Oryctolagus cuniculus: one gene and its partner. The protein of the gene in region 2 purifies or fractionates together with the protein of the main gene of each other region. This does not show direct contact. Links are inferred from orthologs where the notes say so. Each region holds a gene or a part of one and is shown on either strand. Other genes may lie near its edges. The genes, in order: NUP160 and SEC13.

Region 1 (3,803 bases), on a different chromosome or scaffold from region 2:
TGGAAGCAGAAGGCAAAATTGCAGTTTCACTGTTGCAAATAATCTGATCATTACAGTTTTCAATTCAAAAGATACAAGATAACTTGTAGAGATAACTCGTAGCAGGTAAAGCTGCCGCCTGCAGTGCTGGCATCCCATAACGGTGCCGGTTCAAGTCCCAGCTGCTCCACTTCTGATCCAGCTCTCTGCTATGGGCTGAGAAAGCAGAAGATGACCCAAGTGCTTGGGCCCCTGCATCAGTGTGGGAGACCTAGAAGAAGCTCCTGGCTTTGGATCAGCACAGCTCTAGCCGTTGTGGCCATCTGGGGGGTGAACCAGCGGATGGAAGACTTCTCTCTCTCTGCCTCTCTGTAACTCTGCCTTTCAAATAAATTAACTTAAAAAAAAAATTAAGACTGTCTAACAACTGTATACTATTCCTTTTTGTATTCTAATCATCAAAAACTTTCTATTTTTAATGATTTTGCTCAAAAGCAGATTTGATTAAGTCAGGGCAGAGCGCCAAAGTGCACATCATGAGAATAAACATGAAGCCAGCTTCTGCAAGGTGTCTAATGGCAAATGAAGTAGACTCTGAAGGGAGGTTTTCCTCAGGTGGGACATGATGTTATGCAGACTTCTCTTTCCCGTTAGAGTGTTTCCCTTGGAATAAAACTGGAAGCACTAACTGATGCTGACCAGGGCAGAAAGACTAAATGGGGAACCCCGCCCGAGCTGTCAGATACCACTCACCTGATAGCTGTTGGCATCCAGCCGATAAGCAATCGCTGCATTACTGAACTCTGTTTCAGTTCCACAACGGACGCCATCCCTGCAATGATACCCAAGACACCTCATGAGCAGACTCAGAGAGAACCGAAGGCGAGAGTGATGGAACCATAAACAAGGTGTTTATAAGGTGATGGGCTTCTATATTTCTATGCTAACACTTGTATGATGTACCTTACCTATACATCACATCTATAATATTCTGAATCACGACTGGATCAATAAAAATACTATTTTTAGAATCCCAGAGAAAATTTCTCATTTATAGGGAGTAACCCATAATGCCACTAAACAGAATCAGCTTCATGCTTTCCAAAATAATCACTGGGTATCTTTCATGTGCCAAGTAGTTTTAGGTGTTGGAGACAGAGCTGTGAACAAAATAACAATAATAAAACACACAACCCCTGTCCTCATGGCAGAGACAAATTAGGTAGCTTGATAATAAGTGGAGAAAATAAAACAGGAATGGAGTCTAGAAAATGTTTGGGTGTGTCGGTGTGTGGTGGTTAAGTGCTTACAATTTTGAAAAGGGTAGTCAGGGAAAGTCTCTCTGAAGTGACACTGCTTGAAGTCTTAAGCTAGCACTGGCTATCCCAGGCAAAGGCCCTGAGGTAGGAATGTCATTGGCTTGTTCAAGGCATTGCAAGAGGGCATGTAGCAGGTGCAGAGAAAGACACTCGAGGCAGCAGTGGGGAACTCACTGGAAGCCACTGGAAGGACGCTGGAGTTTTTCAGAGTGAGATGAAGAACAACCGTCATCTGATAGCTTTGAGCAACGCAGACAGGACCCAACTTGGGTTTTAAATCTCCCAGTCTGCCTGACAAGTTGCTGAGGGGGGTTAAGGACAGGTACAAGGAGATATATAGGAAACTATAAAGCAAGAATTCAGGCAGGAGCTAGTGATGACTTGGAGTGGGGTCTCAGCAGTCAAACTTATTTCAATTAATTTAATTACAACACCTCAATCTGATGGTAGACAACTAGTCAACTCACCTACACTAAAGGACATCAAATAAGCTACTTTATGACATAAAATCTTGCTCTCTTAAAACACAAAAGAGGCCGGCGCTGTGGCTCAATAGGCTAATCCTCCACCTAGCAGCGCCGGCACACCGGGTTCTAGTCCCAGCCGGGGCGCCGGATTCTGTCCTGGTTGCCCCTCTTCCAGGCCAGCTCTCTGCTGTGGCCCAGGAGTGCAGTGGAGGATGGCCCAAGTGCTTGGGCCCTGCACCCCATGGGAGACCAGGATAAGTACCTGGCTCCTGGCTTCAGATCAGCGCGGTACACCGGCTGCAGCGCGCCAGCCATGGCGGCCACTGGAGGGTGAACCAACGGCAAAAGGAAGACCTTTCTCTCTGTCTCTCTCTCTCTCTCACTGTCCACTCTGCCTGTCAAAACACACACACACATACACACACACACACACACACACACAAAAGAAAGCATTAGAGATTCATTAGCGCAATTAGCGATGAAGGAACAATTTAGGGATACTACAGAAGCACCTGCGTGCACTGGACCGTGGGCAGAACTTGAAAAGTCTGTTTAAATGGCAACAGTCCTTGTTCAAAGTGGAATCATGCTTAGTTCCCATTCTTACCAGGCATGTCATAAGGAGGTAGTTTAAGAACAAAGATGCCCCCAGAAGCAGACGGCAGTGCAAACAGAGCCTCTCCATCACTGCTAAGCCAGGCTGCTGAGGCGGCAGAATTAGGAGCTGGCCCAGGAACCGTTGGGATTAACTGATAGTTGCAAGGATCCCTGAAGTCAACTTTGCCAATGTCAGTGAACACTGACTGCATCTGACTTTCAATTACCAACTCCTGCGGAGCAATTAGAAAGAAAAATCTGTTAGATCAAAATCACTCATGTTGCTCTCTGTTAAGAAAATGTTTTTAAAGGAAGAAAATATTGAGCTTAAGAAGAAAAACATTTTTTTAAAAATGAAAACTATTTCTTCAACTTAAAATGTGTCTGGTCATTTTGAATAGCAACTATCAAAGTATGGTCGGTGAGGGCTAACAAGCAACCCACATTTCCTTCTGTTCCAAAGGATATTGCTCGAGCACTAAATCTGGGACAGCCAGAGTAATCTGGGAAATAAAAGATATTACACTGAACCAACTTACACTTCTGTACATCCGGGAAGGGTGCGGGAAGAGTAACCTGTGCACTGTTTGATTGGTTAGTATCAAGACTACCACATGATTCTGAGTCTCAGAGACATAGACCCCTCCAGGCAGGACACTGCAATTTTGGAATTTGAGACGAACTGCATTATTCAACAGATTTATGTCCAATGACTCCTCCACCAGCTCCAATGTATCTCCAGAGGTCTTCCTGTTAAGAGAGAGGCATTTGTTTAAAAAAAACTGCCCAAGTGAACACTCCGAATTTGAAAATTTTAGATATGCAAACTCAGATCACGTTCATATTCTACATCGCCATATTATGTAGTTACAAAACACAGCATAACAACAGTCAAATGATTCTGTTAAAGGGAAGTATTTCCAAACCTGACAGTCCATTTATTTGGAGTATTACTCAATGTAATATATTTGGGCTGCTTTCCAGGTGCATCAGAAGCAAGAGCAGCCGGCACTTGCATCAGTGCTCCGCCACTGGATGCCTGCATTGCAGGTGGTCACTTAACCAGCTGTGCTACAACACCACCCCCAAATGACATGAGCCACTGTCAACTCAGATTTTTCTACCTTTTGCTGCAATCCCATCTACTCCAGAATGATGAAAGGGACTTTTTCTTATGGCAAAAATTAAGATTAAAATTTTTAATCAACTAGTTTATTTTCCTTCTAGCTCCTAGTTTATCTCTTCTGCTTCTCTCAAATGGTCTTGTTTTATTAAAATTGTTCTGATTATAAAGTCCTTCCAAGCTTCACCATCTCAAATTTCCTTCATTTCCTTCGTTCCATTTAATTAACTTTTTTCAAGTAGGAAAGATGTTTCCTTCTTTCTTGGGCACTATTCCCTTGAGTCCCGGCAGAAGAGCTCTTACAAGATAAGCGTCTCA
Region 2 (4,595 bases):
CGGCCTCCAAGGCTGCAGAGCCGGGAGGGCTGGGCCACCTCTGCCATGGCCGGCCCCCTCCTACCTGTCCTGAGGTCCAGCTGCAATTTCAGATGCCCAGCTGGCTGGCGCATGCTGCACCCTCAGCACCATGGTCCGCACCCCACCAGACGGGGAGCCCCCTGGAGCCACGGTCTGAGTCATCTGCACTTTTTTTTTTTTTAAAGCTTTATTTATTTATTTGAAAATCAGAGCTACACAGAGAGAGGAGAGGCAGAGAAAGAGAGAGAGGTCTTCCATCTGCTGGTTCACTCCCTAACTGACCACCATGGCAAGAGCTGGGCCCATCCGAAGCCAGGAGCCAGGAGCTTCCTCCTGGTTTTCCAACACAGGTGCAGGGGCCCAAGGACCTGGGCCATCCTCCACTGCTTTCCCAGGCCACAGCAGAGAGCTGGATTGGAAGTGGAGCAGCTGGGGCCGGCGCTGTGGCATAGCGGGTGAAGCCGCTGCCTGCGGTGCCGGCGTCCCATATGGGTGTGGGTTTGAGACCAGGCTACTCTGCTTCCGATCCAGCTCTCTGCTATGGCCTGGGGTAGCAGAAGATGGCCCAAGTGCTTGGGCCCCTGCACCCACATGGGAGACCCAGAAGAGGCTCCTGGTTTCTAATCCGAGCAGCTCCAGCCGTTGCAGCCATCTGGGGAGTGAACCAGCAGATGGAAGACCTCTCTCTCTCTCTCTCTGCCGCTCCTCTCTCTGTGTAACTGTGACTTTCAAGTAAAATAAATAAATCTCAAAAATAAAAAAAGTGGAGCAGCTGGGACTTGAACCAGTGCCCAAATGGGATGCTGGCACCACAGGTGGTGGCTCTTCCGGCTATGCCACAGCGCCCGCCTGTCACCTGCCCTCTTGAATCCCGAAAATCCCCAAGCACAGCGCTTTGTCAACAGAAGGCAGGGGCAACCGCGTGGGGAGTGAACAGTGCACACTAACGGGCAGGGGGCGCTTCCTTGGCCCAACCGCTCTTCCCTCAAACTCCTGCACAGCAGAGGGGACCGAGGAGGACGTGCTGGCTAGGGAGGGTTTCTTGGCTTGCTCAGCCCGAGAGCTCAGGCATGAAGTCTGAGGCCGTGCCCTGGGCCAGGGGCATGGGGGCCCTCGGGCATAGGTAGGCCGTCCATCCCAAGCAGGCTGCCCGCTGTGGCTGCAAAGCCTGCCTGCCGACCGACCGGCATCTCCCCACTGACAGCTTCCGCGCGGCCTTAAACCACACCCCAGGGTGGGTGCAGTCTCACCCAGAGCTGGCAGGGAAGGGGCTGTGCCCCAGGGGAGACAGACCGGCTCCAGGGGACCCCGCTATCTTGTGTGACTTCGTGGCTCTAAACCAAGCGTCGAGTTCGCTGCAGTCTCTCACCCAGAGCTAGCAGAGGAGGGGGCCGAGCCCCTAAGGAGACACGAGCCCCAAGCCGATGTGAAACCCCCGTCCACCGGCGCCCCCCAGAATGACCCAGGAACAGCCGGCAACCCGGACACTTCCTGCAAGCCCGGTGGGCTCGCGGGCTCCGCCTGCTCTCCTGTGGGACCAGGCGCTCGCTTGGTCGCTTGTCAATCAAAGTTTCTTTACTAATAAAAGTTTCTGCCTCTTTGCAAGTTGTTTCCCGGCTTTTTATCTGTCTACGAAGCTGAGGAAAAGAACGCACAAGCCCCCGGAGGCGTGGAACGAAGCCGCGAGCAGGGCGGCAGCAGGGCAGTAGAACGGGGGCCATGCGGAGCCCGCCGGGTCCCTCCGCCCACCCTGGGCTCCCAGCGTGGGCCCCGCGGGGCGGTCACCGGGGCACTGAGAGGCTCCAGGGGCCGCGTGGGTGGACGCTGGCAAACCCAGGAACCGCAGACGCCACCGAGAACGCCGCGGAGGCCAGAGCTGGCTGCAGGTCCGGCAGGGAGCGCCCCTTCCTCACCTCCCCAGCACCCACCACGGCCGCCGGGTGAGCGGAGGAGGGAGTCCCGAGAGGTAGCCGCATCCTAGGTTAGCAAAGCACCAGAGACCGCCAGCGCGCCAACCGTGGGTGCTTTAGCGGCGACCCCGACACCTGGAGCCGCCCACAGCTGAACGTCACTACGAGTTCCCGACGCTACTCAGGGTAACTCAGCACCCAGCCCCTTCACTAGGGGCCCGCGGCGTGGGCGTCCCACATGCGCGCCGGTTCGAGTCCCGGCTGCTCCACTGCCCATCCCGCTCCCGGCTGATGCCCCCAGGAAAGCAGCGGTGCACGGCCCACGTCCAGGCCACTCTCGCAGTGGATTCGCGAAGCGCCCACCACCCCGGAGGCCCACTCCGCGTGCACCTGCGCGGACTGGCGGCCGGTGGCTCACCTCCAGCGTCCCCACAAACCGCAGCTCGCGCACCGGCCCGGCAGGGCAGGCTGACCGCCGACACGCCCGGAACCACGGGCCCGGCACACGCTGGCGCCTGTGCTGTTTCGGCTTTGGTTTCCAGCGGCTGCGGGGAGCCGAGGGCAGCAGCGAGGCGCGGCCCGCAGAGTTCCAGGAGGTCCCGCGCCGCCCCTCCCGAGGGCCCGCGGGGCCCAGGCCCGGGGTCCCCGCGGCTCGAAGCGGTGCCGAGGAGCTGAGCAGCCCCAGCACGCGGGCCGAGTCCAGGAACCCAAGACGGCCGCGACACCGGCCCGAACGCGGCCCCCAGACTCACCATGGCTGCGGCGGCTGCGGCGGACCCGGGCCTCGGACGTGGCAGCTCCCGGCGGCGCCTCCAGCAGCTCACTTCCGGCGCCGGGTGAAGGCGCCGCGCCGGGCCGGGCTCCGCTGCTTCCGGGCAGCAACACGCTCGCCCCGCACGAAGGTTCCGGGCATTCCGTATCGCCCTCTCCCGGGGCCCCGCCCCTGGGGGGCGTGGCTCTGATAGCCGTGGCGATCGCGAGGGAGGGCGGACTCTGGCTGCCGTGAGGTGGCCGACGGGGTGATGCTCACTGGTCACTCCTCCGGCCCACCTTGCATGAAGCCAGGTGACTGCAGAGACTCCCCACTGCCCCTTCCTGACCCCCTGGGGCCCCGGGCGTCCATCGGGCGTAGCCGACCCTCGGGAGGGTCGCAGTGCCTCCGTGTCCTCTGTGAGAGCCCCAGCTGGACATGGTGGTGGGGGGCTCCCGCAATGCCTTGACCCGGGCAACCTCGGGCAGCCCCCCTCCCCGCCCCCGGCTTGTGGTTGTACCCAGGCTGGAGCAGGAAACAGACCCGGAGGACCTGTGGGGTCTCCCGTTCTTTAAGGGGTCAGCCCTGTCTGTGCACCTGCAGCTGTCCCCCACCCCCCCGGCCTGCCCTGGCCATCAGGTCGAGTTGCCTCTCTCTGAGCCTGACTTTGTGGCAAAGGGGGACACGGGGCCTAACTGGAACTAAAGGAATTTCTTGGTGCCCATAGGTAGGGTGGCACAGGCAACAGACCTGCACCTTGGCAGCCAGAACACCTGCCGGTGGGATGGAAGGGCTCGGTGGGGTGGTTTAGCATGGCGAGGCCGGCTCGGAGACAGCGGGGGGCCGGCCTGGGTGCTGTGCGCACTCCTGGCTTCCCCCGGCCACCGTCTGCGCTGCTCGCCCATAAGTGGGACCCGTGACACCTCTTGCACACCCCTTGTCTGCAGTGCTGGGGCCAGAAGTGTGTCTGGATTTTGGAATATTTGCACACATATAAGGGTGCTTTGCAGACGGGACCCAAGGGTGAGCCCGTAACCTGGGGGTCATTTTATAGAGCAGTTTTATTAATTCTCTGCGTCAGTTTCACGGTGTGGCATTTTCCGCGGTGGCATCGCGGTGGCACCGGAAATGTTTTGGGCCCTGGAGCGTTTCTGATCTTGGGTTTTCGGAGTGGGGACGCCCAACCCGTAAAATCCCCTCTGAAAGTTGACGTTGGGGTCAAAGGAACCTTGGCTGTGGAACCGGGTCTGGGGTTGGATGGGCCCCCTCCCGGGCAGGGGATGCCACCCACAGTGGCATCTCCCTCTGCTCAGTCCCAGACCCCAAAGCAGGCCATTCTGTCCCCTCCAGCTGGGCTTCCCCCTCCCAGCCCCACTGCCCCCAAGTCTCCTCCTCTTTCTCCTCCTTCCTCCCCCCAGTCTTCCTCTCTGAGAAGCTCAGCCAGGCCTCAAGGCCGGTTAAGCCCCCAGAGGTGGGTGTTCAAAGGTGTGACGTGGGGCGGGGAGGCAGGCAGGCCAAAGTGCCAGGTGGACTCCCAACCTGCAGGGCGGGGTGGGGTGGGGCGGAAAGAGGCGTGGGCTGTGCGCGAGTCTGCGCCTCCGCGCGTGCGTTTATTGCTATTGCTTAGTGTAGAAAAGGCAGACAAATCCCAGTGGTTACAAAGGGCACAGCCAGAGATACATAGAAACAGAGTGTACAGTAAGAGCACAGTCTCTCCCCAGCCCCGCCGGCCCCAGAGCCCCCCCGCTGCGCCCTCGCCACTCCGCTGTCAAGTCCGTGCACACCAGAGTTAGCAAGTGTGGCAAGGCCGGAGGCACGCCCGGGAGGGGAGCACCGCACTGCAGGACGAGAGGAGGCTTCGCCCCCACCAGCGTCTCCGTCTCTGAACACCAGGAGGGCGCGGTTTGGAATTA

Evidence for each region.
Region 1: the proteins of SEC13 (region 2) and NUP160 purify together in Homo sapiens (affinity purification with mass spectrometry; 4 studies listed by BioGRID and IntAct, counting the BioPlex papers as one, with this or other methods). This does not show direct contact. The link is inferred for Oryctolagus cuniculus from reciprocal best matches to the Homo sapiens genes SEC13 and NUP160.

What each region holds. Positions count from the first base shown.
Region 1 is NC_091432.1:18,177,228-18,181,030, reverse strand, and holds part of NUP160 (nuclear pore complex protein Nup160), read right to left. Parts: intron 3,113-3,803; coding exon 2,902-3,112; intron 2,596-2,901; coding exon 2,373-2,595; intron 812-2,372; coding exon 733-811; intron 1-732. UniProt on the Homo sapiens protein: Functions as a component of the nuclear pore complex (NPC). Involved in poly(A)+ RNA transport.
Region 2 is NC_091441.1:116,544,687-116,549,281, reverse strand, and holds the start of SEC13 (protein SEC13 homolog), read right to left. Parts: upstream 2,944-4,595; 5' UTR 2,687-2,943; coding exon 2,684-2,686; intron 1-2,683. UniProt on the Homo sapiens protein: Functions as a component of the nuclear pore complex (NPC) and the COPII coat. At the endoplasmic reticulum, SEC13 is involved in the biogenesis of COPII-coated vesicles.